Lepisosteus oculatus: one gene and its partners. The main gene of each other region encodes a partner of the protein of the gene in region 3 in a complex. Links are inferred from orthologs where the notes say so. Each region holds a gene or a part of one and is shown on either strand. Other genes may lie near its edges.

The links.
Region 1: tectonic-1 (region 3) and b9d1 share a complex: the UniProt entries of both Homo sapiens proteins name them as parts of the tectonic-like complex. The link is inferred for Lepisosteus oculatus from reciprocal best matches to the Homo sapiens genes TCTN1 and B9D1.
Region 2: tectonic-1 (region 3) and cc2d2a share a complex: the UniProt entries of both Homo sapiens proteins name them as parts of the tectonic-like complex. The link is inferred for Lepisosteus oculatus from reciprocal best matches to the Homo sapiens genes TCTN1 and CC2D2A.
Region 4: tectonic-1 (region 3) and transmembrane protein 107 share a complex: the UniProt entries of both Homo sapiens proteins name them as parts of the tectonic-like complex. The link is inferred for Lepisosteus oculatus from reciprocal best matches to the Homo sapiens genes TCTN1 and TMEM107.

What each region holds. Positions count from the first base shown.
Region 1 is NC_090714.1:12,532,701-12,540,351, reverse strand, and holds the start of b9d1 (B9 domain-containing protein 1), read left to right. Parts: upstream 1-4,643; 5' UTR 4,644-4,795; coding exon 4,796-4,855; intron 4,856-5,115; coding exon 5,116-5,184; intron 5,185-6,244; coding exon 6,245-6,356; intron 6,357-6,750; coding exon 6,751-6,847; intron 6,848-7,013; coding exon 7,014-7,076; intron 7,077-7,651. UniProt on the Homo sapiens protein: Component of the tectonic-like complex, a complex localized at the transition zone of primary cilia and acting as a barrier that prevents diffusion of transmembrane proteins between the cilia and plasma membranes.
Region 2 is NC_090696.1:45,323,472-45,330,885, forward strand, and holds the start of cc2d2a (coiled-coil and C2 domain-containing protein 2A), read left to right. Parts: upstream 1-4,401; 5' UTR 4,402-4,492; exon of another isoform or gene 4,493-4,519; intron 4,520-4,984; 5' UTR 4,985-5,083; coding exon 5,084-5,097; intron 5,098-5,837; coding exon 5,838-5,919; intron 5,920-6,578; coding exon 6,579-6,635; intron 6,636-7,232; coding exon 7,233-7,313; intron 7,314-7,414. UniProt on the Homo sapiens protein: Component of the tectonic-like complex, a complex localized at the transition zone of primary cilia and acting as a barrier that prevents diffusion of transmembrane proteins between the cilia and plasma membranes.
Region 3 is NC_090717.1:10,245,870-10,253,346, forward strand, and holds the start of tectonic-1, read left to right. Parts: upstream 1-4,471; 5' UTR 4,472-4,765; coding exon 4,766-5,243; intron 5,244-5,491; coding exon 5,492-5,609; intron 5,610-6,606; coding exon 6,607-6,737; intron 6,738-6,914; coding exon 6,915-7,075; intron 7,076-7,477. Other genes in the region: pptc7a (protein phosphatase PTC7 homolog), read right to left, coding at 3,207-3,408. UniProt on the Homo sapiens protein: Component of the tectonic-like complex, a complex localized at the transition zone of primary cilia and acting as a barrier that prevents diffusion of transmembrane proteins between the cilia and plasma membranes.
Region 4 is NC_090698.1:9,297,557-9,305,096, reverse strand, and holds the start of transmembrane protein 107, read right to left. Parts: upstream 3,019-7,540; 5' UTR 2,777-3,018; intron 2,216-2,776; 5' UTR 2,134-2,215; coding exon 2,047-2,133; intron 1,655-2,046; coding exon 1,587-1,654; intron 1,109-1,586; coding exon 1,008-1,108; intron 211-1,007; coding exon 114-210; intron 1-113. UniProt on the Homo sapiens protein: Plays a role in cilia formation and embryonic patterning. Requires for normal Sonic hedgehog (Shh) signaling in the neural tube and acts in combination with GLI2 and GLI3 to pattern ventral and intermediate neuronal cell types.

The DNA of each region.
Region 1 (7,651 bases), on a different chromosome or scaffold from region 3:
GCACAGTTTGGCACTTCTCTGAAGCTCAGCCCCACCTCCTGCTCCCTCAACAGAGCCAAGGGGCTCAGGGCTGCGTCCCCCAAGTGTCTCCTGCACTGTCTGTCGTCACAGCCCTCGCAGATGAAAACAAGCCTGCTTCCCCTCCCTTACGGATGGCTATGGATGCGTTATAAAGATGCGTTTTACATGCAATGGCACATCAGCAACAATCTCATCAGCAGCACAATTTTTTATGAGCTCTTAAGGAAGAACAAAACCCTTAAATGCCTACCACTATCACTTCTGTACTGAATCACTGCTAATTCAAATTAGATCAGGGATGTCAGATTCCAGTCCTGGAGGGCCGAGTGTCATCTGGGTTTTGTTCCACGTTGAGTGGTCAATTAATCAATTAACCTGATTGCTTCATTAGACGAGTGGGATTTTTTCTGAAGGGCTTTTGAAGCCAATTACTCAAAGCATTCACTTCATTAAATTCAGCAGAGTGATGTTTATTGTCAGACGATACGAAAGAACTTAAAAAAATTAAAGCTATGTGAAAACTTGAAGCTTGGTTGGAAAAAGGCAATTACATAGTTAAAGCAAATATGCAACCTAAAGCTCGGGAAACAAGAAGACTTTATACCTTACAGGAGCTGAGTTTGAACCCCCTATAATAAAATCTCTTTTCTTTACTAGTTTACTAACAGTTTGCAGTTGCTGAGGTGTGTCTCAATCTTCTATAAGGCTACTAAAATCTAAATATTTGATTATATATTTTTTTTAAATAAACTGTGCAGGCACATGTCACATCACCATGAACTCTTCACCACCAGCATGTTACTTTAGTTTTTCTGTATTTTATGTGCTCAGTCGTTCACCTGGGATGTAAGCTCTTATTTGTTCTCCTTTCAGGGAAGTCTGCCAAGTTCTTCCTTTCAGGTTGCTCTTTACTTGATTCAAAGCAAAGACACTAGATGTGCTCACTAACTCTTCGCTCTTGGTCTTCATTAGGCACTAAACACTGCACATGCTCATCACATCAATTAGATTTTCTCATCAGTTCATCACTCTGTATTCATTAATCACCAGGCACTGAAGGATCAACTTATTTAACTTCATGGCACCCAGTTCTTAATCTTCACTAATCTCTATTCACTAACAATCAGGCACGGAGTATTTAATTTGACTCTGTCACCCAATAACAGTCTTCATTAAATTCACTTCACCATAGCCAGGCAACACAGAATTCAGCTCTATTAACTCTACATTGCCCAGTTGCAGTCTACTCTAAAATTATCACTTCCACTCTAATCTCTGCTGTTGTTTTCACTAACAACTATTAACTTATTGCTAACGATAGTGGCTAATCCTTTTTGGCCAGAGACACCTGTCTGTAAACAACATCCCTGACATACTTTTTGGTTCTAATCTCATGTTCTGACATCGCTCATCTGTCTGCTGATGTTAATGCATAGGGAGTACACAGGACTCATCTATACTTCCCTCTCACTCTCAGCTGTGGGGAAGAAGGCACTGTATGCTGCTACCTCACTACACAGTGCAGTACAAGCTAAGCTATATTTTCTCAAACATCCCTCACTTGCCGAGCTACACAGGTCTGTAAGGCAGCTCAGTCCATTGTTAATGAGATCTCCCACTCTGGAGCTCTCAAACTCATTCCTTTTAGGCTGTAGCCTAAACACAGACTGAAACTTTTTTCCTCTTAACTGTTCTTATAGATCTCTTAATTAGCCCAGATGCATGGCCAATTCCTCCACAGCCTATCCTATGAGATCATTTCCCTCATATGGAATTCTACCCCTTCTCTGAGCCAATTATTCAATTTGCCCCCAGATGTGCCTCATTTTTTTCCTCAGTTTCCCCCCCCCCCATCAACAGGTGGCATTCTCTCAAAGCCACGTATCACTACCTCACATCATCATCACATCCCTTTCGAAAACCCCTGATCCGATTCGGGCTCCCAGTGGCCCAGGGTCACATTGTCCCAGGAAGCATCGGGAACAAGACAGTATACACCCTGGGTGGGACACCAGTCCTTCGTAGGTCACTACCTCACAGAGACCCAAATCTGTGGAGCCAAGTTATTGACATTATTCAACGCTCACTCACAAAATATTTGAAGTCCATTCCATCTTGGCAAACGCTTACCCGTCAACAGTGCTCTATAAATGGCCTGCCATCTGTTGATATCTTCCCTGTCTGCTGTAATTTCAGTCTGGGCTATATGAAGGTCTTTGTCTTTCCTGCCTGTACTAAAGCACATTCCTGACCTGCTTCAGGATGGAACTGACAATAAACAACACAGAGGGAGTGATGACTGGGAGGACTGAAGGACATTATGGGATGGTGATGATGAAAGACCATGTGTCCTGAAAGACTTAAGAGTGCAGATAGTCTTCTCATACCCTAAAACACACATTCAGCAAAGGAAATAGCTCTGTCTTACAGTCCGAACCTACTTGAGATAGCTTTGGTAGGAAGAGTATAAGATACATAGGCAGCTGTCGTGACTGGGCAGTGGGCTGTGTGATGCTTAGCTCTCCGTACAGAAAAGGTCACTGTATCAGTGAGTGCAGAGATAGCAATGACACCCAGCAGAGCGCATGCAGCACTGTAGCTGCAAAGCATTAGGACTGATCACCAGGGGGCGCCATGGTGCTACTATTTAACCATTGCCACCCAGGATAGTTATCTAGTCAGGCAGGATGTTCTGTTTCACCGTTACTACCATAAGAAAAGGGGAGTGTCTGAGGGGAGGGGAGGTAGTCTTTTTTAGAGGTCTTCTAAGCAGCTGCTAAAGCATGGTATACTCAGCCTGGGGGTGGTTTCTGTAGGTCACAGGAACACGGTTAATTTACAGAGCCTGAAGGAACACGTTGCATGATCTATGCTAAGCGAAACAACCCCCAGGAAAAACAAAGAAACAAGAGTTCAAAAGTAACAACAAAATGGCTTGAACTACACCCTCATCATCTATCCATTTCTCGGACACAGCTCGCCAGTTCTGTTTAAGCATCCAACAGCACAATTATGAAACTATAAATACTATTGCTTTGGTGCAGCAAATTGCATTTATGTGATTCAGCTTGTTTTATAAAGGGCAGACGTGTCCACGTTTCATCTCAGGGCTTTTTTTTTAAGGGTGCAACCGTGGCAGACTCGCAAAACAGTAGCTTTGTTGATCATATCCTCCTCCTGCTAATTAAGAGAAATCACGACAGACCCAAATCCTCCCTCCTCCATCTGGAGAATACTGCAGTAATTAGACACCAAGGGGCCGGCACTCAGGTACACATTCTGTATTGCACTTCCTTTCCGGCAGGGGTAGAGAGCGAATTATCTGGGCAAAACATTGCTCGTAACTCGCCTGAGCCTGGCCCTAACATGAGCCTGGCAGAAACCCCATCTTCACGCACGCTGGAGTTTGGGTTTTTTTTTTTTTGCGTCCTGACCTTTAAGATACACAAGAAAGAAAAGAAAGACGTAAAGAACCGTAAACAGCCTGAAATAAAACTTCGTTACAGTCCCTGCCCCCTCCCACTCTCTCTGTCAGTGTCATTGCTACCTTCCTACTATCTCCTGGAGCGCTTTGTATCACGGCCCTCCCGCCTGCCTCTGTCACGCCGTGTTGCTGTACCCAAACTGTGCAGACGGCAGAACTAACATGACAGGCAGTGTGTGACACTAATCCCTACGTACCGAGCACAAACACTCAGGGACCCGACACGCGTTAACACGGCGCTCTGACTCATGATATCTCCGGCGCCGCCACTAACTGTAACCGCAGTCGCCGTGGCTGAACTCGGGGCCGCCCCGGGCAAGACGCGAGTCCCACCTCAAGGCGCGTCAGCACCTGCGGAGAAGAACCCAGTTCGTCTCACTCTGCAGTCACTGTAGCCTTCTACTGATAGCATGGATTAAAACGGTCTTAAATGCAATACTAAACGAAAATGTTTTAACCACATGTGAAATGTTCACCATCCTTCGCATGAGGTCAGATTTAATTTTAGACTCGCTATTATGCTGGTAAACAGGAAAGAAGGATTCAAATTTACGACTTTTTCCAACCTTTTTGCCAAACTGAAAGAAAAAGAAAACTTCTTGTTATAATATAGGCGTAGATGCCTCATTTAGCCAAATGTTTTATTTCTCAGAAGCTAATAAAGATTGCGTTAATGTAAGCAGCAACGTAAAAAACATTTTTTTTATTATCACGGCCGTTTTACAGCCCTACTGCTGAGCACCAATACTGAGAGAAAACCGTCCTTTCATCGCGCACTCCAATCAGCAGCTAACTGATTGCATTGTAGCCATTTGGTTCATTCATTTCACCTCAATTTCCGATGGCTGAAGAAAAAAACTTGAACAGAGTGATTGTACATTGCATGAGTACCATCTAGAGGAGAAGGCGATAATGAGCTCTTCAGGTGTGTATACAGAGATGATAAGACGAGAAACCTTTTAGATGATAACTTCGTGACATAACACAGTACCCTGTGTGCTAATGTGGTGTAGTATTTGTCTTGGCTTTCAAGGTTATGTTTTACTGTTGGTAAAAGCATAAACCTAACGGGGCTGGGCATTGAAAAGGAGGAGAGGGCGATGTTTTTTCAATCGCTTTTTTACCTTGCACTGTTTGGTCCTCACGCTGTGCCATACAGGAGGCGTCCTTGGTATCCAGAGGCGTTGGTGACACTAACAGGAGAGCAAATAGGAATAAATAACAATAGCAATGAGATAGAACATATTTTTCAGATTATTATTATTTCGAAACGTGTGGAGACAGGGCAGAATGTCAGCCAATCCATCTGTTTTTCTGCTCATGATAAACGGTCAGATAGAGGGAGCCAGCGTGAGTATCCGCCTTTCTAGACGCACAGAGCCTCCTGTTTTTACTTACTGTAGATCCAGACGAGACTGGATACGCTTTCCTGTGGCCACATCAGTGTCCGTTTCACATCATGTTCTGTAAAATAATACAACCCGTCTCTCTGCTAACTTTTAAAAACATGTGTAGTATCTTCAGAGGCTCAATGTGTGTTGAACGGAGCGCTGTTCCAAGTGGTAAAAATTGTTTTTCTTTCGTTAAATCTCCATTTTACTGTCTCTTAGTTTCCAGAATATGACGACCTGTACTGCAAATATTGCTTTGTATACGGACACGACTGGGCTCCTACCTCGGTGAGACACTTAAGCTTGAGGGTGCTTGCTATATTGATAACGTACTGTTTCTGCTTTAAAATTCTACTGCTTTTATTCCCTCAATTTAAACTTCACGTTCGTGTTGTTAATATATTGCCCTGGTTTTCACAGTTCCCAGATCTCCGTGGTCCAGAGTCCAGGCTTGTGATCAGCTCATTTTTTGATGTTGCCTTGCTTTATAAGATCCTTGCAATTAGGACGATGTATTACTTCAGTAATGTGAAAGACAAAGTTATATCGGAAACAACTAAATCGTTTACCGTAATAAATATGAAATATTTAGCCAGCCTTTTTTTTCTAATGGCATAAACTAGTCCTGTTTTCTAACAGTTGTTTAGCAGTTATATGACTTTAACAAAAGTTTAATATTAATTTAAGCATTACCTTCATTCGGTTTAAGAATAATTCTGAAATCGTATTATCACACAGTACCTAAGATGGTGAAGAGAGTTGGTAGCTTTTAATCCCACTGAAAAGCCAAACTCTGTGTTTAGCCAGAGAGAAACTCTTGCCAACACTACAAAATGTTGTTGTGCCTCTTGGGCAAAGGCTGGGAGATCCATTTTGCATGAGGTGATGTGTGTTTTGTTGAAGGGCTACACCAAGAGGAGTCATTTATTGTTATTCACACATAAATTGACACAAATATGGACTTCGGGAGCTTAAATACCTCTTTGTTGGAATTATCTATACAGTTGACCACTGGAGATGAGGTTGAGGGACTATAACGTCTTTCTCGGTAGGAACAGGTAAGGGTTTGTTCCATGCTGAAAGGAAAAGAGAAGAGATGTGAGGTTTCGGCTTTGAAGCCTTCTTCAGGCGTGTGGAGGCAGTGGCTGTCCAAACCACTGCATTTCTTTTCCTTTCAGCCTGGAATAAATCTTTACCTGTTCCCATGCAGCTGATGCAGTTCCTTACTGGATGTTTCTCAGTAGCTCGCTGGAAGGGGAATGGCCGTCCAGATAGGTATGGCTGCGTCCAGCGGGCCCCTCACTTCCAGCGTAGGCTGTTCCGATCATGCCTGTCGCTGTCCTGGCAGGGCCTGGAGGAGGGGATCTCCCAGATCGCCTCCAAGAGCAGAGACTCCCAGCAGCGCTGTGTGTGGAACTTCCCCCTGGATATCACCTTCAAGAGCACCAATCCCTTCGGATGTGAGTGACACACCCACTGACACCGATTACCCACTACTGAAAAACTATACTACTTTCTTTTAGAAACAGAACTAAAGGTTCTTTTAGACACAGTACTGCACAAATTGTATATTTGGCTATATATGACAAAATATACTTGTAGATGGGTGTTTTTCACCTCCATTGCAGTGCTGTTGAAGAATGCATGTCAATGGCAAAGGAAGATCTGGCTCTGCGTAATTTTGTGTAGCAGTTAAGAATGACTAGGAACAATTGCTGGGCTTCGTTTGCTTGTGACAAGAACTGTATTTTTGTCAGCACCACTTCCATTTCTATCATCGCTGTGGCCAGGCTGTCACAAAAGAGAGACTGGCTTTCACTGGGCTAAGGTGCAGGTGTCTGCTCTCTTGCGCAGGGCCCCAGATCGTGGTCAGTGTGTACGGACTGGACGCGTTCGGCAATGACGTGGTGCGAGGATATGGCGCTGTTCATGTTCCCATAACCCCTGGCCAGTAAGTCTCCTGCTCTTCTCCTCGGTACTGCTATCCATTGCCCCCTTGAGTTGCACTGTGTGCAGTGCAGCATGCTGTACAGTACACCTTGCAGCAGAAAACTAATAATGAACCTGTGAACAGTGTGCAAAAACAAAAATCTTATTAATCTGTGTTCTTCTCTCAGACACAAGAGAACTATTCCAATGTTTGTTCCAGAATCTACTTCAAGACTACAGAAGTTCACAAGGTAACACCGCCACAACACAGATTAAGCATTTTATGAAAATACCATTGAGCTCTGCCTTACCACACTCGGTTTTAAATTCTGTGTTCATGGTATCTGGCCCTTATTTGCTTCTCTTGAAAAATGTCCTGACAGCCAGTTTTAAGTGAGCTTTTCAAAAACAGTAGGTTATGCCCAACCAGAGAACCAACAGTAAAATGAATGTGCAGATGAAGTAAAATACTTGTTGAATTCATTGAATGCAGAAGTTTCCCAAGGCTGTTGTTGCATTTTCCTCACTTTTATTTTTTTTATTACAAGGAGAATGCAAAGAGCCTATCCTTCAGATGTCAGGTTGCTTTAGATCTGCAAGGCCTTTCTCAAGTACCAATAATTCAAGGGCACACAGTACACTTCTACACTTTCGTATCCTTCTGGAAGTTATGGTTATATATGATATTAAAATGCAAATTGGATTTTCTGAAAAGGTCTGATTTTATACATATTTTTTAGAATAGTTATTTGGCTTACCAATACAACTGTTCTACAAGCAGAAGCAGGAATAAAGACCACACAGCTACCTTTCAAAGTGTATGTTG
Region 2 (7,414 bases), on a different chromosome or scaffold from region 3:
TATAGTGAATTCTGGATTTTTTTCTTGCAAACTGGGCTGAAGCAGAGCATATCTGTTTACAGTACTTACATAATACATTATACAGCAATATATAAACAACAAAATGTGTAAAATAAAGAATACATTATATTATACATTGATATGAGTCCTTTGTTTTAGAAAGAACACAATTCCTTGATTTGATATGATATCCTGTAGCATGTTCCACAAATTATTCAGGCTGTCTGGTTGCTGTTTTAACTTATGTGGTATTCATATAATCCCAGTACCCAATGATGATGTTCATATCAGGACTTGTTCAGACCAAGGCCTTTTCAACCATTTTCAGACAAGTGGTGAGTGGCATATTTTATGATCTAAGTACTTTTTCACTACGCTGTTCGCTTGGAGTCAGTGTGATGTTGGAAGATGCATCCACGCCTAATGAAATGTGCTTCTGGTGGAATAGCATGATGGATTAGTACCTGCTGGTACTTGTTTTTGGCTAGGATAAGGTGGAGTTTTTGTAAAACTGTGCCACCTTGTTTTGATTCATATCCAAGGTTCTATTTAGTTGTGTTACTTGGACTATATAATGTGCTTCCTATTCATGTGGCTTTTCATGTGGCATGTGGTCAATTTTTAAAAAGCAATTCCAACATGGGCGCTTTGTTTAAATAAGTCTGATAAACATACAAACAAACTGTGTTTAAATATGCCTGACAGCACTTTGTGCTAAAGTACTGTATTTATTTCTGTTTTAAAAAACATGCTTTACCTTGAATGCATACTGCTTGGATGTTGAGAATGAAACTTTCATATGGAGTTTTAACAAAAGCCTTCGGAAAAAATAAATCTCTTCACATGTTCTGTTTGTATTAATTACGGCTGATACTTATGCAGTCAAACTTAAGTAGATTTCTCTTCTATGAGATCAGAGGAAATCAATGCATATGGCAAAAACCCATATACGATCAGAAAGAACAAGCAGACACCATACACACAGGTCCCCCAAGTTGGAAAGGAATCAGTTTGAGGGAGTAGTGCTAACCACCAAGCTCACAGTGGTGTCCAAAGCACCATATCCATACCAAGTTTGGAAATACTTTACCAAATATTTTTTACCCAGCAGTTTGCAATACTAGAAGTGTATGAACAAGAGAACTATATGGTGGCCATTCTGATTTATGTAGGAAGCCTGTTTCTCTATATTTATTAATTGTATAGAATCTACAATGATAGCTTTCATGTTTGAAGTTAATTGTCCTATTTTTCACAGGATCGACTTGCATTATGAAATGTGATTCACCAAACAAGAGATGACATGTTGTACCGTAAGTATATAGGGTATTACTACAACCTTTGAGGGGCAATTCTGAAGTGCAGTATGCATATCATGGAAACTGCCAAGTGTCGAGAGAATTGGTGGGGCAGTGCCTAAGACAGTGACAGACTGCATTTTTTAATAAAATGGCATTCGTTTTGTCATTTAACTTTCTGCAAGAACCGCACATTGCCATATGTTAACTATTGTCATTAGAGTTGTCCTTACCATGTTTAGAACAACATGGTCAAGCAATTTTTGCCCAGGATTGACATTGAGTAAGAGGCCACATGGCAAGTAGCAGTTGATGGCCCAATGGGGGTGGGATAATTATGTCAATACTTGTGAGGTGAAAATCACAAGAAGCTTTAGCTATTTGTGACATATTTAAATCATGGTAGATGAAGTAATAAGTGTGGCAGATGTTAATGGTATGATCATTATTTGATGAAGAGAAAATGTTTGTGAACCCCGAAGTTGTCCATTATTCTCTTATATTTTTAAGATTAAATGTAATTAGATCCTGAAAGTTCTTTGTGACAACCACTGGCACACACATCACTCTCCCCAAGAAGGATGTCACCTTTGTGTTTTGCACTTTAACGTAAAATCATTTAATCTTTCAACTTTTGGACTGCCTCCGTGATCCTAGCTTTTACTTGATGTTTTGCTGTCGCACAGTCTTCCTCCTCCTTCCAGGTTTCTCTTCACTTGGTTCTACTCAACATCTATAGATCTTCCTATTTGGAACTCTCTTCATCCTTTGTCTTCATTTGACACCAAGCACTATGCATGACTAAAATAGTCATTTGATCTTCTCATTGATTATCCAATCTCCATCTTCACTAATCACCAGGCACATGACTAAATCTGTTTTCCCAATTCTTAATCTTCACTAATTCACTAACAATCAGCCACTAGAATATTCAATTAGACTGTATCCATGAGGCTCAATCTCAGTCTTAACTAAAATCACTTCAACAACCAGGCACTAGATTATCCAGATTAAATGTTGACTGAATACAATGTTGACTAAATTCACTTTCACTCAATTCTTTGTGCAACACTTTCACCCCAACCCTTCACTCAATCTTCACCAAGTACCTGATCTTCACTTATAACCAATTACTCTTCTCATCACTACCTATAAAGCTGTCCCTGGCCAGACAAACCTCCATGTAGCCCACACTTGCAGCCTTGACACAGCAGCAGTCTGCTTAAGACTCTCTCTCTCTTCTCATAGACCACCAGTCTGTCAATTTATGAAAACCCAGGGAGTCCTCGGTACTCAACCTGTGCTAGCTAGACTACTCTCTCTCAGGAATAGGGAGATGGCATATTTCTACCTTGCCAAGCAATGCCCTACTCCAGGTGCCAAAGACTCCAGTCAGTTTTAATTAAGCAGGCTAGCTCTGTTCCCTAGCAACCAACTTCAATCCCATTGTGCCTGACAAACAAGCTATTATGCCTTAATATTCCAGTACCTTTGGTGCCAATTGAGCAAGAAACATACTGTAACGCAACGGGGGCTCAGGCGGGTGCCCTTGCCACATTAGGTCGGCCCCCCACCGTCGGGGGCTCGAACCCGTGACTCCCGCGTCACTCAGCAGGGAGCCAAAGAGAGATCTCTCCACAGCCCAGTAGCTGTAGTCCTGCTACCACAGGGAAGGGTGGTGACATCACCTGCTCTGGTACGCCGGCTCTTACACAGTGCCTGTCGGCCATAAGCATTACACCCTCCCCCGCTTAAATCACTGCCCCCAGTGAAGGGCTATCCCACACCACTCTGACACCAATGTAACGCAACAGGGGCTCAGACGGGCACCCTTGCTACATTAGGTCAGCCCCACACCGTCAGGGGCTCGAACCTAGGACTCCCATGTCACTCAACAGGGACCCAGCCCGGTGAGCCTAATAGAGATCTCTCCACAGTCCAGTAGCTGTAGTCCTGCTCACAGGGAAGGGCGGTGACGTCACCTGCTCTGGTACGCCGGCTCTTACACAGTGCCTGTCGGCCGTAAGCGTTACAATACCTTCCTCATCTTCAGGCTTTTTGGGATAGCATTACACTGCCACCTTCACATTCATTAATCTTTTGTGTAGTCAATCCTCTTCCTAATTACTATGCAGCACCCATCTGTCCTACACCTACAACAGTCCAACCTATATTTTCTCAAGCATCCCTTGTTCACTGAGAACTGCAGGTCTGTAAGCCAGCTCAATTCATTACTTATGAGACCCCATAATTTCTCACTTCTCACTTGATTGAAACCTAGACACAGACTGAAATCCTTTTCCTCCTAGCTGCTCTTACAATTCTACACTGTGCCCATCCTATCAGTTGCTTCACCTCCTATGAAATCCCAGGTGTGCCTTGTTTTTAAAGTTTTGTTTACATCAACAGGTGACTTCCCCTCAAAGCCACCTCTCACTACCTTAGAATTATTATATAAAAGATTAAAATAACCTAATTGCATGTATAATACAAAAATATAACATATATTTGGATTGTTTGACAAAATACATCCCTTTTCTAAATGCTTCATCCAATTCAGGTTTATGGGAGTGCCAGATGAGAAAAAGTGTACATAAAGAACATATTTCAATGGGTTAAAAATAATAAAATAGCTTGATCAGTCACTTAATTTGGATAAATTCAAAAAAGGAAAGTGGATCGATCATCTTCTTCTCTTTTGAATGTTATATTTTAAAATAAGGAGATGTTATGGGTGGCACAGTGGCATAGTGACGCAGTGTTGGATTCCTGGGTTTAATTCCAAACCCGCGAGTGTCACCGAGGATGTTTCGGTTAAACCCCCTTCCTCCACAAAAAAAACTCCACCCTGAATTGAAAGATCGGATAGAACTGGGGTGAATGGAGAAATAGTCCTAAAACACGTAACAAAAATAAAAAAGAAAGGTTGCTGTGAGATACGTTTAAATCTTGTTTTGGACTCCTTTTGAAATCTAATCGATTTAATGAATATAGACCCTTCCGAGCCACCATAGTTAATGACCGTTCAAGCCCGCCCTCTGCCCTGATTGACAAGCAAGTTGCTGAATGAGGTGAGTGCAGAGGAGCACTGGGGTTGTTTTTACATCAAGGTATCAAGTTTGGTTGGAAAGTAGTTTCCGTCGTTACTAAGCAGCAAAACTGAACTAGTGTTACAGCCTGCGGCAGTTGATAAGGTGTTTACAGCGAAAGAAAATATACTGGTATATGTCTGAATATCGAACAATGAAAGATATGCCAGATGTGACTTTGCATTGCTTTTATTTGAAATGTTACACTCACTGTTTCACAAACGGTATCATGCTTGTTTTATGAGATGTGCATAGATAAATTGCATTTAAACAATGCAAGGCACAGTATATTAGTTTACTTTTTTTATTTGTATAAATAACTTTGCTTATACTGTATTCTGTTCAATGTGTAATTGTGTACGTACTGTATCTGCGGCTAAAGTAAATTATTTGTTGTCTGTTTATAGCACTTCTATATAAGTAGTACACCTACCAATTAGATAGTAATTATGATGCAACAGGTTTGCCCGAGGTTGTATTTTTCTTTTGCATAGCTCTAGGGCATAAGAAACAAATCCTACCTTTTATTACAGGACAAAGATTTTGAGTAACCATTAATTAGTTGCTTAAATGACTTCAGTGTTTTTTTTTTTACAGAAATCTGAGACGGGACCCAACAATAGAAAGGAGAATTCTGAAGTGTCGAGTTTTAATTGGCATCCTTTCTTGTGATGTCAAACTGCTGTGCATAAGGACATGGCTTCTTCAAGGTAGGTGGAATTATTGGTTGATGAGGCAGTCAACATTTTTTAAATAACTGGGCCATATAATTATAAGAACATAAAAAAGCTTGAAAGAGAATGGAAGCCATTTAGTCCATAGACCTGACTTTGTTTCTAGTATCTAATTGAGCTGAATGTGTCATCCAGCTGATTCTTGAAAGAAGAAAGAGTATTAGCGTATTCCAGACATCCACAATCCTTTGTGTAAAAAGTACCTCCATTCTAAGTTTTAAAATCATTTCCCTTTAGTTTCTTTTAATGTCATCTAGTTCCACTGGCCGTATTGATAGATTTGTCTCTGCGTTTCAGGATTTTAAATGAATAAGTTAACCCTGTGGACTTCTTCAAATTCAGTGTAACTCGTGAAAATCCCCTCAATTATTAGGAGAACATGCAAACTCATTAACGTTAAGGACAAATATATCCAAAAGCATCAAACAGTTATATATTAAAGGGGGTTTACTTTTACAGCAGAGCACATCCTTAAGGTGTTAAAATCAGTTATAAGATACGAAAGCTAGTAAAGACTACCTACAGTGTTAGGGTACAATATTAAATAGGTGGATGCTACACATCGGTGGTGGAGGGGAGTCCCCATTACCTTCAAAGTGTTTTGAGTGGTGTGTCCTGATTATATAAAAGCGCAATATAAGTGTAAGGAATCTTTATTGTTTGCAGCTAGTGTTTTATTTTGATATCACTGAATTGGTATCCCAATTCTCTTTCAGTGATCTACGTGAGAAAATTAGAAAGAAGCGGAAGGCACTTCAAGAATCTTTGACAAGAGTTAAAGATGACATTGATAAACAGGTAAAATGATGATTGACTGAAGTACTGTAACTGATAATTATATGAAAATATACAGAGGGGGTAGCCGTTCAATTTGAAAAAAGGCAGAATGATAACTGGACTTACATGGCTCATACTAGGCATGTTTACTGACTGATGCACTGATTTCAAACTTCCCCAAGAGGTCTCTGTATTTATTCCTGGAGTCAGATGCTTTCTGACATTAAACAGTTTTGCTTTTAATTTCCCATAGCTTATGAATCACATAAAGGAACAATAATGTTCATTATGGCACTTCTGAATTTTTTTCTCTTAGCAGTTACTGTGAAAGATAATATTTTCCCTGTTACTGCTGTGGGCATTGAATAAGCCCCTCAACTCCACCCATCATTTCCAAAAATTAGCATTTGTTCTACAAATGCAAGATGTATCTTCTTATAAATTTAGAAAAGAAATCTAACTGTAAATGTATATTAATCCAGTCTTTTTGGTGAAAAGTAAAACGAAAATGTGTTCAGGACTGGCTCAGTAGACTGATAGCAGGTCAGATAACTTTTATCAAGGCAGCTCTGTGCAAGACTCAACAGGCCCTGGAAATGAGGTTTGTAGCCAAAGGAGGGAGGAACCTACTCCTCAGAGCTCCTTTTCACCATTAAATGCTGTGTTGTTTTGCTTGCCAGGCTTTGGTCACCACAGAAATGGAAATCAGTAAGGAAACTGAACAGGCTACTGTAGAGGTTGGTGTCTGTTCAGCCTTTCAGTTTGGTATGCTGTCTCTATAGATTTCATAAGGCACATGGATTGTACCTGTCCTTTAAACTATCTTATACTTTTTTTGCTTGTCTCTTCCGGATAAAATAACAACGCTAAACAGCACTACGGTATCTTAGTATTAACTGAATTCATTTGACTTTAGTCTAATAGGTAATTTCAAAGTAAAAAAAAAAGCATTAATATGAATGATCCCCTTGTTTCTTCAATGCAAGTGTGAGCTTGTTCTCTATGGTTTTACCTGAGCAAGTACAGGGTTACCTATTGTTCATGGCAATTAATCATCTGTTTTGATTTTAGGGAAAACTGTAAAATAGTGTAAAGAAATCCACAAGTCTGTCAAAACTTCTGATGGACATCTGAAAGCTATTCGTATGAACTGTCTTAAAAAAATATAACACATTGATTGATGATTTCCCCAGGATTTAATGTGTGCACTGCATGATACCAACCTTAAATAATTTGTCTTTTTGACAAAATTCTCTGTGGTTTGGGCTTTATTTTCAGGAAGATTGAAACTTATCAACATTCTTTTTAAAGATTCTTTTTATATTCTAACTCAGGAAATCGTTGACAATGAGGAAACACAAGTGGAAAATTTAAAAAGAACTTTGAAGGCGCAGAGACAGAGGAGAAAAAAGCCTGTAAGTGTTTTTAATTAAATAGATCACACAGTGTATAGAATTTCAAATGTGTGATACAGATGTGTTCAGTAAAGAAATACTTTTATTCTAGTTTCCATGTA
Region 3 (7,477 bases):
ACCAAGGTCATGACTCTATGTGGCCATAAAAAAATCCCAGGGCGTTTTTCGAAAAGAGTAAATGTGTAGCCAAACTGACCAACCTAATAATCCCCATCTATGAAATGGCTTCATTAATATGTTCTCCTCCCAAGAACTGCAGTAAGATGCAGGACATTCAGCACCAATCTGAAAGGAGACACATCCCTCATCGACATCACTACAAGCCTGCAGGTTCCTGAGAAGTTCTGGCAAAGTGTGTGTGTGTGTGTGTGGAGACACATCAACAAAGTTAGTGGTGCTGCTTTGCCAGTATACAATGCCCCACCAACTCTAATGTTGAGAATTTCTGCAAATTCTCTTATACAAGTTGTCTTAAAAATAACCGATGTAAAAATGTTGTACCAAGGCACTGGCAATCTCATCTGAAACATGAAACTGCAGGCTAGAGAGAGACGAAAAAAAACAATGTGAGCCTAAGTGGTTCAGAGAAGCAATACTGGCATGAACAGGAGATAAATGTTGATTTTGCATTATAAAGCAGTTACTTTCCTCTAACTGCAGTTGCAGTAATCGGGCTGTGCAGACATCCGATTTGCAAGCTGTTTGCACTCTCTTCTCTGAGAATTGATTTGAGCACACAAATACAAATCCTCCCTGAGGATTAGTATGACTCATTCAGCAGAATAAGAAAATTCAGGGAATCGGTCTGTTCACATGGAAATGGGTAAGATTTAGTGCATCATGTGCTATTAGAATAGTAGGAGGCAGTGTAAGAGACAAAGGTAGTCTTTTTGTTCTTTCGTGCGAAACATTATTCAATACAAAAGCACATATGGACTTAAAACATATGAAGGCCTGAAAGCCGATATTAAAACTTCAGATGTCACCTATTTTTGATACCTTAAATATGCAAGGCTCTTGTGACATGAGACTGTACTCAGCAATCCTTCAAAGTCTGACAAGCTTTCCAAGAAAAACAGTTACGCAGAGTTCAACATTTAATCCCACATGAAACAAAAACACAGATAATCGATGGTAGTCCACTACTGGCTGTGCAAACACCAGCCAATTCACACAACAAAGGCCCAAAGTAGACAAACCAAAAACATGACCCTCCTTATACATCAAGCAACACTCCAGAACCCTTGCAGAGAAAGCTGAACTTGCCGCCAGGTCACTTTTAGTGCAATTTAACATTCTGTACGGGGAAAATCAAAATATGTTTTTGTTATTGGGTTCATGTTGTGTTTAACGTATTTTGTTTCGTCTTATGTCTTTTGCCTGCAAAACAAATTTCCCCATTGGGGACAGTAAAAGTAAAGATGTTTAGAGCCGACTTGCTTCCTGATATATAGATCTGTTCAATTTGCTAATAAAATTACAAGGACCCAACAAGCAAATACAGCTCTCGCATGACTTCAGGCTGCTGCTGCAGGTGGATCAGGCGCTCTGTCGTCTATGCAGAGATAAGACAGGACTCGGATACAGATTCCTCTATAGGATGATCAGAGCTGAGCCTGCTGAAACGAACGTGCACATCAGAATTTGAGCCCTTGAAGATTGAGAATATGTTGCAATTTCTTCTATTCCTAGATAATCCCATTCTTTTTAAAAGCTGTTTTCTGAATAGAGGCTGCATCAGGTTTCCCAGAAACCGGTGGCAGACATCTTTCGTTTCTGTACAAAGGTGCGCGACCTGAGTGAAACACGAAATAAAATAAACACGCGTCCTTCGATGCATACCCCCTTGACATTCTCAGTTAAGATATGGGAATAACTAAATTTTCCTCAAAACCCCCTACTAACTACCACGGATTTGCCCTTCGAGGGAAAACATGTTTTTCAAGGTCATAGTCCGCTCTGACACGTATATCCAAACTGTTGACGTCTGTCCTAGTTCAAAAGGTGGGCAAGATCACTTTGCTGCCAAAGGTCGTACCTCCTGGCCAGCCCCAGTGTTTGCCAGCCCCGGCTTGGCAGAGAACACGCCCCAGTCGTGGGTTTTCACGTTAGGACGGGCGCCCCGGGGTGACACTGGGAACTGAAACAGCTGGCGGCGCGCGCCGCTCCCTCTCAAGTGCACCTGGCTCGCGCCGGAGAAGGACAAGGACGGCGCTCGCGGGGCGCGTACAGAACGTGACCCAACATGGCCGCCTCCATGCTTAACCACCCTGACCTCTGCAGAGCGGACACCGGCTGTCCGGAAACTAAGACTGCGTTTACCCCCCCAAAAAAAGAGTAACAACGCCAGGGTGAGCGAGGATTGATGAGGGATCTAAGACCTCGTTAAGGCTTCTAACATGCCTACGCCGAGACACTACGCTCAGCACACAAAATGCTTCCTGGTGCAGCAGCCGTACGCGGAAGATGAAATAACGATCCACATCTGTCTCGCAAATACACCCAGATGAAACCCGCAAGCGTTAATTGTAATCGGAACCTTTCTCCTCATGCTGTAAAAGCTACACAATGGAGGGTTTTTTAAAACACCTTGGGAGTGCACATCATCGCCACTAGTGGTGGAGATACAAAGCCTCAGTCTACATCTCGGCGATCGAGGTAAAAGGTCACGATCACTCGCTTGCAACAAATTCAAGCTTTTCTTAGCCGCACCAAAAACACTGAAGTAGTCCTTAACATTAGTAAGTGTTTAAGCACGGTAAAATGACAATAGGTTCAAATTCCATGCATTGCAAAAACGTAGAAGCACCGTGCAGATGCAGAGGCTCTTAAACACATCCTGCCACTTAATTAGCTCTGCAGTACAAATGCGGGATAATGCCGGCATTAAAATCTTCAATGGTGATGTGCGCCGACAGGTGCAAATAGAAACAGTGTCAGAGCTGCGTGAAGGAGTATTATTGCACGACTTCGGGGAAAATCGTCTCAAGACGCTGCCGGTACCGATCAAGTACCACACACCAGCCCGGTGCCACATGTTGACATGAGACCAGGTCATGCAGTTCAAGTGACATTCCAGAAAGGGTATTTAAAAATTAAGAAGCGCGATTTACGGTGTTTTCCTTAACCTGCGTGGACTCGTTTTACAGTACTGCAGCTCAACAAACCTCCAAGGTGAAAGGGCTCCGATGCTTGATCGTTTTTTTTATTATTATTATTATTATTATTATTATTATTTCGGGATGGGGGGTAGTAGGTCCGTTGGAGATCAGCTTTAAACGCTTCGCCCTGGCGCTGAAATCAAGAAAAATCGCCGGACTTACCCAATACATCAGCGGATCTATGCCGAGCAATGAAACAGGCGTCATCGCCGTAACACATCCCCTTCTTCAAAATCCCCTTCCGAAAGTCTTTCCCGAAACCGCAGCTTGCCGTCACCAGGCTGTAATCCCGGCTATCTGTTTGGGAAAGTCCGCCCAGGACAGCCCTGGCAACCAGTCTGCCATAGGAGAGAACGGACAACATCCCCCCAAAAATAGCAAGAGTCCACCTTACCTCCTACCTACTCTCTCCTCACTCTGCCTCACTCACTAGTCTCTCAACAAAACAACATGCGGTTACCCACACTAACGAACAGGGAAAAAGGTCAGCCCCACAGTCCCAGAGGAGGCGCCTTTTTAACGTCTTTTTTTGTTTTCTGAAAGGCCCAGGACGAAGAGTACGGCTGGGAAGCGTCTTCAGGTTTTGGCGTGGTATTTCGCGAAGCCGGTGGCTCTCAGGTGCTCCATCCTCTCCGCCATCTTTCCCTGCTCAAGATTGTACAAACGCCCGGGTTCCGGCGAGCGCGAGCTCCACAGAGTTCGGGGGGCAGTCTTGTGACTCCTTGACGTCATTCGTTGTTACGCAATAGGGGGTTTTCCTTAAAAGGCCATCAATCGCGACTTTCTTCAAACTACGTTAACGGGGGGGAAAACTGTCGTTTTGAAAGGATCTGCTCTCCCCGTATCATCGCGGTCATTTTTACAGACTTTTGTCTTTACATTTTAATTCATGCCATTTAATCGCCTTTCCTCCCACCAAACGACTGCACGGCTCACTGTTACGAAGAAATGAAACATTAATCGTATTGCTTAAATCACGCGTTGTAGCTCCGTCTGCAAGAGCATAAGGCATTTCAGAGATAATGCTATCGTTTATTATTTAATTTGGTTTGGTTTAAATTAATTTAATTTATTTTAGTTTCCTGGGAAATTATTTTTACAGGATTTTATTCGTTGTATAAAGTCTTATATTATTCCCCAACCATGCAATTGGACACTACCTTATTGTTGTTTCAATCAGGAACTTAAGTACACTTCTGTGCATTACAGTTCAATCTTAAATATTAGCTTTATTTGTAAAAGTAAACTTTGCACAGATATTTTACTGAAACATTTAAATGAGCAAATAAATATTACGATCCAGCAGAATTTACCTTAAGAGGCTTGCATATTAGACGGTACCCAGATGATAAGGACAAATATACAGTGTATTTATGACGTTGCCAGTACAAATCATAACAATGAGGTACTACCATCACGTTACACTGACATTCTGAAATTTAAGAAGATCCCAAGGTTGCACGGAGAGGTCGCTGAAACTGTCGCCATTGTGGCTCAAACTGACTCCGAATGATTACACTCTGTCCTTAATTGACCCCTTTCCAAGAGCCAAGATGGCGACAGCATGCGTAAAACCTTTCGTACTTATAACCTTGAATGGAGCTTTCGTAACACTATTATTTTAACGGCCAGAAAACACGAATTCGTTTTCTTTTACTCCCATCTTACATCAGCAAAATAATAATACGATCACATGAATTATTTTATTTATTTTACCCGGGATGCCCTTCCCAAATTCAGTTCCTGGATTCGAAGGCTCAACCGTCTGTTTACGGTTACTAAGAGCCATGGCGGTGTCGCTAAGGTTTTTGATTTTCTTTAACTTCGCCTCTATCACTCGTTTGCAAACGTTTACCACGTCTCTGGCGCAGAGTGGAGACACCGGAGCGACAACGGCAGACGAGCCGTTCCCCCCAGCAGACACGAACGACTTCAACACTACGGCGGAGAACTTTGCGGCAGCTTCTGTCTCCCAGACGGCCGGAGCTGCTCCCGAACCGCCGACAGCTGAGTCAGCCGAGACGGGGGCCGCACAGCCGACCAGTGCAAGCGGTTTCCCCTCTCCTCTCAGCACCCCTGAGACGAACACAGCCCCTCAACCCGAGGCGACAGCCCGGAGCGACGTGTCTCCGAGAGCCGAGGCGCCCTCTTCTCGGCCTCTGCCGCTCTCGGGTTCCCTTCCTCCGCCTATTACTAACGGTATGATTACACAGCAGGCAATGAGCAGTTCAGTGACAGGTTGGAGATATCTGAGGGACTTATTATTTTTATTGTTGTTATTATTATTAGGGCTGCCGTGCGAGTACAGGGCAGCCCGCACTCCGATCCTGAAATCAGATTTTGTTCTGGGTCGAAACAACTAGGCATTCACCCACCACCCATCCATGAGCATTATTTTGGAGGGTCGTCAGCGGTTGCTAACAGTCACTCTGATCCTCTCTCCTCAGTCGCGAACGTGTGTCCCTGCGATCTGCTGTCGAGTCAGTGTGACGTCAACTGCTGCTGCGACAGGGACTGCGAGGGCGATTTCGCTCTCTTCACCACCTGCACCGTCGACAGACTGATGTAAGTCATCGCATGGCAACGTCCTGCATTGGCACTGGGGCTTTTCCAGACTGGGGAACCGTGAGCTGTCCTGTGCCTCTCCCACTTCGCGGCTAGGTGGCGCAGTGCTAACAGCGTGGAGTTTGTACGTCCTTCACATGCTGGTTTCTGGGGAAATTGCCTCTGGTGTGTGTGGTGTCTGTGTGAGCCCAGAGATGGACCGGTGTCCTGTCTAGGGTGTATCTTCCCTTGAGCCTGGTGCTGGCAGATATATGCTCCGGTCTCCCTGCAACCCTGTATAGGATAAGGAGGTTGGAAAACGGATGGATCGGTGTCCTACTTCCAGTCCCTCCTTAGAACTTACCAGTTATCCTATGATCTATCTTGCTCTTTCAAAATCTTACAAAATGCTGCTTGTCCTATAGTTTAGAACATAAGCACCCTTTCCTGGCCTCTTTATTCAGCTCTATTCTCTTAGTTGATGTTCTGTTTCCCCCTAATTTATGACAATTCTGATACCTGTTTTTGACTAACTGTATTTATAGTAATTGTATTTAATTTATGTTTCCTTGTATTTGTTAGATCACACTACGTAGTAGTATACTGTGTAAGTTATTTGCAGGTAACGTGTGTGTATAATGCAGAGTGTGTCATTATATCCAAAGTGCATATATTAACACAATGTATTTATAAGACATCAGTCTGAGGAGTACTATGTATGATTATATCTATTAACACTACAATAATAAATAGAAGCTGCAAAAAGTAGCGTTTTAGCAATGATAAACTGTATGGATGAAAGCCAGTTTGTAAGTGTTACTTAGATATCGCCTTTGCTTTCTCTTTGCCATGAAGTAGTTATCTACAGTCCTGTTAACATGGACCCACACAACGTTATTTCTGCATAACCGGTTCCTACAACATTTTGCAGTTCATTTTCAGTCGAAGTGCCAGCCTGGATGTGCCACTGTGGGAGCAGTGTGAGTGATGGCGTGACACTCGGTCTTGTGTGTTTCAGTGCTGACTCCCGGCTCTGCAGCCAGCAAGCTGCTCTCTACACCATTAACACAGAAGATGGCCTAGCGCAGGTAGAATCCACTGTAGCGCAAGAGATCAACCCAGGTGTCTTCTGCATCCAGACTGCCAACTGTAGGTGAAGTTTCGGTTCTAGCAACATGTAAAAAGGACCCTTTATCATCCTCCATGACTGCAGGAATAATGGAAAGGAAAAAAAAAAAGTAGCCTTTCGCATGCCTGAATGTTACTCATACGGTATATGTGATGAGTCAAAAGAGAAACTGCAAAAGAGCTTTGGTTTTTCTTTAGATAAGGATGGCTTGTCATTTGCTTCTCCGGAGATTCCCACAGATGGGAATTTTGACAGTCTGTTCAGGCAGTTCGGTGGGTTCTTCTTCAGCCCCGCAGATGGAGGTGGGACCGATACCGCCCCCGACAGGGCAGACCTGCAGGCCGCCTCTGGCTACCAGGTAAACGTGCTGCAGTGGCTCTGTGTGTTTAATCTCCGCCACAGTTAGTGTAGGCCAGGACAATGCTCAAGTATTTCTATACAGTACATACAAGTCTCCAGGTACCTTCCGTAAAAAATAAAGCTGAAGAAGGCTTCACAGCCAAGACGTTGTGTTTTCTCTCTTCTCTTTTCGACAGGGAATAAACCTATCACTTGTTCCTTTTAAGATCTGGGAAGCTGTAGTGGTGTTTTAAATTTTAAAGTGATGGAATTTTACTAGGGTGGCGCAGCAATGCAGGTTTCCTCCCACAGTCCAAAGACATTCTGGTGGGTTAATTGGCTTCTGAGGAAATTGGTCCTGGTGTGAGTGTGTGTCTGTTTGTGTCTCTGTGCCCAGCCGTGGACTGGCATCCCCTCCAGG
Region 4 (7,540 bases), on a different chromosome or scaffold from region 3:
GTGGACCAGGGGGCTCGGTCTTCCCTCTGAGCGAGTCCCAAAAACAGACCAAAAGCGCTCCCCCCCCGTTAGTGCATCGGTCTGCCTGTGCCGTCAGTCGCTCAGTCACTGACCTGCAGAAGGCGAATATCCACCAGTACAGGCCGCAGTCCCACTGCTCGAAGAGGAAGAAGACGAGCGCGACTCCGGCGCTGGCGTGGGCCGCAGTGGCTGGAGGGCAGTGGCTGAGTCAGGGAGTGGTAACCCCAGGCGCTCGCGGGGTGCCCTTATGGCCACGAGAACCCGTTCCAGTCAAACCCAGATTCCCCGAGCCTTAAGGAGGATCCCCACTGCTGGTCCTTTGTGACCCCATAGCGTCGGCCAGCTCCAGGTCTCTTAACTGATCTCTTCACTGAACCTACAGCTCACTTAATCAGAGCACTTTCAACTTTATCGGCTCTTAGAAAAACACAGAAATTCAGCTGCGTACCGTACAAAACATGCATCTCTAATTCCAGCCACCCGATTCCTAGCTGCTTCTTCCAGTTCAGGGTTGCGGGACAGCTGGAGACTATCCTGGCAAGCACTGGATGTAAGGCAGGATGCACCCTGGACAGGAAGCCACTCCATCGCAGTGGAGACCCATCTCAGATACACTCATACCAGGACATCTCACATGTCACAGCAAGATGACATCTTTCCCTGTTTGTTCACTGCGCTACTCTCAGGACACCCTGCCTGACACACTGACGGCTAAACCCTGCCTGTGCCTGCTCTCTCTCCGATATTCATCAACCCATCCTCAGCTGGATCGGAGTGTCCAACTGCTTTCAGTATTTCCCTGCCCCTAGGGGAAGTCGGTCCTGTCAACTTCAGGGCTGTCCATCACAGCTCCACATGCTTCCCAACTAAAATTCAACAGGTGGGAGACCAGACTCTGCACTGGGAACAGCATATCAGCCTCGGGCAGCTCTGTGAAGGGACCAGGGAGGTCCGGGCCACAGTCCTGGGCAGCGTGTGAAGGATACAGAGGAGGCCCTGGCTGCTGTTGAACATGGACACGCCGGAGAAGAAGCCGGCCAGCTCGATGGCAAACATGCCGAGGGTCACGGAGAGGGCCACGACGAGCCTGCGACACGGAAAGAGAAGCAACCGCCCACAAAACGTCAGAAGGCTTGTAGTGGGAGAGAACCCCGAAACTGACACTTAACACACAGTTCTTCCCATGCATTGGTAAATATTTACACACAGGCAGCACCAACACTTTCACAGAAACACACATACAATACAGAGTGGTACAGTACCCACTCACTAACCAAAATATTAGGAACCAAGCAGTGAAATCACTACACTTCCTCTGTGTGCAGAACAAAGGGTGCAGGTATCAGACACCATCCATCCATCACCTTTCTTGGCCAGAACAACCTCTCAGATCTCCATCCTGCTGTGAAACCAGTGATACAGGTCAATCCCAGACACCACTGTCCCTCCACAGACACTCGAGTGAAAGGGATGGGACTGGGCTGCCGCCATTTCGCAATGGGGGTCCCTAATATTGTGGCAGACAACCGATCTTAAACATGATGTCGAAATTCCGTTGGACTTACTGTGTATCCTGGCTGTTGTACTCTTCCTGTGTGTACTCTAAAGGCAGGCAGGCCAGGACGTTATTCTCCTGAGAGGAAAACACACCGACACACTAGTTAGGGAGAAGGCCAAACATCAGGGGTGCATTCACCAGGCACAGCACTCAGTCCCACATCGCTATCAATCTTCAGGGACAGCAACATTTATGATTCCCAATTTATTCCCACTTACATATCTGTACCCATGTGTACAGCGGGTCACCTGGGATTTGAACCCACAACTTTCCTGTTACGAGAGCTTAGCCCTGACTACACTGCCATGCAGCACAGGGCAGTGGTAAGAGACCTATTGGAAGGACTAACTGAAGCTGAAAGCCAGTAGAGATCTTAGAAAACTATTAAGAATTTTGCAAGACTGTTTACTTATTAAGACGTATGGGTAAGCCTGACAATTGGTTCTGCTGGAAGTGCGGGCTCGTACCCGGGACCAAAATATTGTGATGACAATGACGAGGTGCGCAGTGAGGGTGAGGAACCGGGCCGGAACCAGGCTGCTCACAGCAGACATCTCTACTTTTGGGGCCGGGCCGGGCCAGGCCAGGTCGGCAGGGCCGAGGTCAGAGGTCAGAGGCACCGAGGCTCGCCGGGACCTGCAGAGGAAGAACAGAAGGACAGGGCAGAGCTGAAACTGGACTCTTTTCCTTCACCCGGGGGCGTCTGACAGATCCGGCCCCATCTTTCCACACGAGGGCTCAAACACTAGGAAAGATTCACCGGACACCCTACTACTACTGCTGCTGCTACTGAGAAGTGGAGCGAACAAGAACAGATTAAGAAAACTACATTTCATATCACTTAGATTAACAATTAGGATAATATATGTGACTATTCGTGACTAGAAGCTCAAAATGTTAAAATGACGCAAGTTACTACGCTCGTACTCCACTAACGAAGTCCCTCCTCACTTCTTTATTAAACCCGGTTGAACATGAACGTTTTTCTTAATGTTTCGTCAAACACCGAGTATTTTAGGAATGAGGAAAAACTGATTTTTTTTTGCACAACAATAGATAACATTATCTAGTGGAATTATTACCGACACCGCTGGACTTGTATTACATACTTCAAAACACCCAGGACGGCACACGGTGCCCGTCTTTTGTGTTAATTTAAGAGTTAACACATTTTAAAACAATTTGTTCGTTTCTTACCGTTACGGTGGAGCTATGATTTATTTTCAAACCGACAAATACAATCCAGCGCCCTCCGCAAATATGATACCAATGAAACAAAAATACAAAAACAACACACTTTTGGAGTTAAAAGGAAAATGAGATGAAAGCACAAATTATGCTTAAAAATCTGAAATTAGGCTTCATAGTTTACAACAGCTCACTAAACAATCGACACTCACGCCGCCCGCTGTCGTTGCTACAGCAACTGAACAGATCTCCGCGCACTCTCGCGAGAAGCCTCGCGTTCTGCGAGGTGACGTTTACAGGGTGACGAAGGAAATCGCGGAAGTGACACGAAATAGCAAATAAAAAATTGGAGACTTAAGTGGAGATTTAAAAACAGAGCGGGCGTGTGTTTCCAGACTGTAGCAAACAAGGACAGTTTTCTTTTGCCACATGTTTGTTAAAACTTTTGATTAGATCAGAACTAGCTCCATCACCATCAACTCCATCACTTGTCCTTTTGTGAAGCACATATAAATGTGTATGTATCCAACCGTGTTTAACCCATGATATACAAAAAGTGTATAAAACACACCATGATATTGCTCTATATACTGTATTGCTCTGCTAACAGACACTGATAGCCGAACCACTAGGAACGCCTTAATTACCACGATATGTAAATTACTTACGCAAGGATTTCTGGGGGAAACGAACCGCTCACGATTTACTGAAATAAAACTTGTTTAATACGGCTGTTGAATCCTTTTTGCCTCGAGAGCTTGGGAACTACTTCCTACTCTCATCGACATTATCTGCTGCTTGTACGGTCGAATATTGAAGTTTAAAATGGGCCAGTTGTCGTTTCTTACCATGACCGGTTCGACCCGAAACATTAAGGACTAACTCCGCGTTAGCAGTTAAACGGTATCGTCAGTGAGGTAGTTCCTTACCTGTTACTCCAGCAATGGAGTTTCAGAACATGATGAATGGAGAGAGATGAGATGATGATTAATATCTCACAATTGATGAGGAATGCAACACCCTCGTTAATTCCATTCTGATTTTCACTGACGATCAAAACAACTTCGTTAAATATAAGAAAATAACTAGTGATCCAGATGATGTGTACTAAAGCTTCGTTGATCTTACTTATTCTGGGTAATTATGTTTCACAAATAAATCTCCTAATTACACTGAAGTCGTTGTTGAAGGAAAAATTTAATTACCTTCTGTCTGTCGCTTTTTAATTTTAATGGAGTCATTATACTTCCGTTTTTAGGAAACTCCACAGTCTCTTCTTCTCTTCTGCGGCAGGAAATAAACCGTAACTTAAAAAAAAAATTAAATGTGTAAACAAATTTGTGTTTACAAATACAAATAGAGGAGAGGAAATGGATGAAAGATGAAACAGAAAAAAACTTAACTGCCAGAGATAAGGAGGAAAAGTATTTATGTGACCAAGTAATATTTTATACATACATCAAATAATAATTGTATTTTTTTTCTTTATTATTCCGAAAAAAAAACATCTCAAAAGGAAACATCTCACACATATTAACACTCTACGTAATAAAAACAACGGCGGAACGGCGGTGATTGTCCGTTATCAATCATTGCAAGTGTGGGTGGATTTGCGCGATTATGAGAGTCCCTCCAAACCCTACCACTTGCTGTTGTCCATTAATCCCTGTACAGGGTCCAAAGTCCTTTCCAGCACTCCCTCGCCGTGGGGAAACCCCATTTGGCAATGTCGCGCTTCATCCTCCTCCTGAGGCCCGCCAGGATCCTCTCCTCCAGCTCCCTCGCTCCCCACTCGATGTTGCGCCGGATGAGAGTGCTCCTCGCGTCCCACAGGCCTTTTTTGTGAGGGACAGCAGCAGCCACATCAGGAACGGCGTCCCCTTGTCTGATCCGGTAGGTGCCAGCCCAAACAAGGAAGGTGTGGAAACACACATCCTCTAAGTTTCTGTGCAACATTCACAGAGATTTAGCCTGGAGTGTCGTCCACCAGTGCTTACCGGTACGAACTTTCTTGTACCGTAGGGGCCTCACCCCCAGCCCTCGCTGCGTTAGGGTGGGCTGCGGCGAGGAGGAGACTGTGACCCATCTCCTGTGGTCCTGCTTTTTTGCTAAGGCCTTCTGGGCACAGTTTGAAGATTGGTTGCAAGCTCTCTCGCCCCAATTTACCCTGACCGCTGCGTCATATACGGCATCTCTCCTGTCAAACTTCCTCCTGACGTGTTTGACAGGATCTGGGCCGTGGTGAACAGTGGGAAAGACGCCCTGTGGAGAGTGAGGAACATGGGGCTGTTCAAAGGCATCGAGGTCCCAGTCAAGGCAGCAGGTAGCCTGGCCCTGTTCATCACCCGAGAGAACTATTACCTCAGAGATCTGTGGAGAGAAGGGAGGGAGGAAGCAGAAAGTCTGTGGGAAATAGAGAGCATAGGTCAATATCTCAAGAAACTGTGAAAAACATTATCATGTTTAAGTAAAGAATGTGATTTGCACCACAAAAAAAGAAATTGTTGCTATGTAACTGGTACCGTGTCAAAATGTAATGAGATGTGATCATATATACTGTTTTAAGTATGTATATTAATGTAAAGCTTTCTAATTTGTGATGTCCTGTATTTTTTTGTGAAAAGAAAATAAAGTTCTTAAAAATCAAATCAGGTGCCAGCCCCAGCAGAATGTACTGGTAACTGAGCACCACACCCGTTCCCAGGAGTTGCATAATGTTGTCCATTCTGCCCCACACCGCCTTGGCAAAGGGGCAGCTCCAGAACACGTGCTCCTGAGTCTCCTCGACGAAACACGTGTCCCGGGGGCAATGCGGATTCCTGGAGATCGAGTGTCTGTAGAGGACCTCTCTGGTAGCCAGTCTCTTGTGTACGGCCATCCAGTTGAGGTCCTTCAGTTCGTTGTCCAGTTCTTTCGGCTGCGTTCTTTCCCAGACTTGTCTGGGAACCTGCAGCCTTTCGTCTGCGACCAGATGCCCCCTCACCTCCTTGTACAGGGCTCTGGTGCAGAGCTCTGGCTGTCTCGTGGCCTCGTACCTCCTGCTCCACTTGACAGTGTGGGTGTAGAACTCCGGTCGCCTCTCTGCCTTGGGCCCGGTGTTTGACCACTGGACCAAGTGCCTCATCGGGACGGAGAGCCACAGCCTGACAAAGTACTGGTACTTGTGGCCGATGGGCTCCCGCAGCGCCCGACAGAGGTTGCAGAAGAAGATGCAGTCGAGTTTCAGGGGGAAATGTGGGACATCTCGACCCCCTTCCTCGACCGGCTGACACATCCGGTTCCTCATGATGTACTCGTACCTGCCGCCCCAGATGAAGCCGAAGATCATCCCTTGCAGCGCTCGTCTGAGTCTGGCCGGCAGCGGGTACACCCCCGCCAGGTAAACCACAGACCCAGCTTCGCGTTCACCTTGGCGATCCTCTCGGTCCAGTTGTTGGTCTTGTTGTCCTGGCTCTGGAAGGAAACCCCCAGTATTTTGAGGGGCTCCGTGCAGAGCTCGAGACCCTCCGGCACCGTCGTCCTGTGCTTCCAGGGCCCGAAGAACTTCGGTTTGCTCTTTCGGCGGTTGAGCTTCGACCCCGAGGCTCTGGAGTATTGCTCCATGACCCGCAGTGATAATTGCATATACCTATATAGCGCCTTTCTGGATACTCCACTCAAAGCGCTTTACAGGCGATGGGGATCCCCTCCACCACCACCAATGTGCAGCCCCACCTGGATGATGCACCAGTGCTCTCCCCACACACCAGCTCTCAGTGGGGAGAACAGAGTGATGAAGCCAGTTCAGAGAGGGGGATTATTAGGAGGCCATGATTGGTAAGGGCCAATGGGAATTTGGCCAAGACGCCGGGGTAACACCCCTATTCTTTTCGAGAAACACCCTGGGATTTTTAATGACCACAGAGAGTCAGGACGTCGGTTTTACGTCTCATCCGAAGGACGGCGCCTGTTTACATTATACTTGAAATGTTTTAAGTTTTTTATAGAATTCATATTTCAACTCCACCTCAAAAGTACTTAAAAGGGGAGTATTATTGGACCATTTTGGTTTATAAATATGAAATCTACCCAGAATGATTCATTTATTATAAATAGATGCTCTTTATTCCGGAATAAACCTCGACTTGTTCCTTTGCAGCCTGCGCTCGCGGACGCAGCTCCCTGCCCCCGAGATGTTTCGTGCGTCTGCCTCCTGGCGCGCGCGGTGCCATCCTCCTGGGCGGGAAGAGCCGAGCGCACGCGCGGCGACGCGACGGCCGCAGGAGCCTCTCGAGGCGAGGGAACAGGCTGCCGGAATATGATTTACAGCCTCGGCCCGGGAAGAACAGGCGGAAGGTGCGTGTTTTACCGAACCAGCGTGGAGTTAATCGGAAAAAGCTCATGAAACGACCGCGTTTGAAAGCGTGAGATGAGGGTTTTTAGAGCGGGAACAGTTGTGTTGTGGCCTGTGAGGTGTTGCTGGATCTGGCCGCATTGAAAATATACTGTACGAGCCAGTGCGTCGTTACTTTTCAGTTACCTGCCATTGTCTCCAGTGGAAATAGAATCGAGTCAAAATCTAGCAGACAGATCGTCAAACCTTTATTAGAGGGTCTATAACTCACCAGGCGCAATGAATGCTCTGACCTCACAGCTCCTGGGACACTTCTTCAAGGCAATGTTTTCTCTGGGATTCTGGTGTTGTGTTTCAACAACAGATTCTTAAATTCTCTATAAATTTCGCCTTGTGCTTCTGCCACGATCTTCGCCAGGAATAAGCCGTTTCCTGCTGAA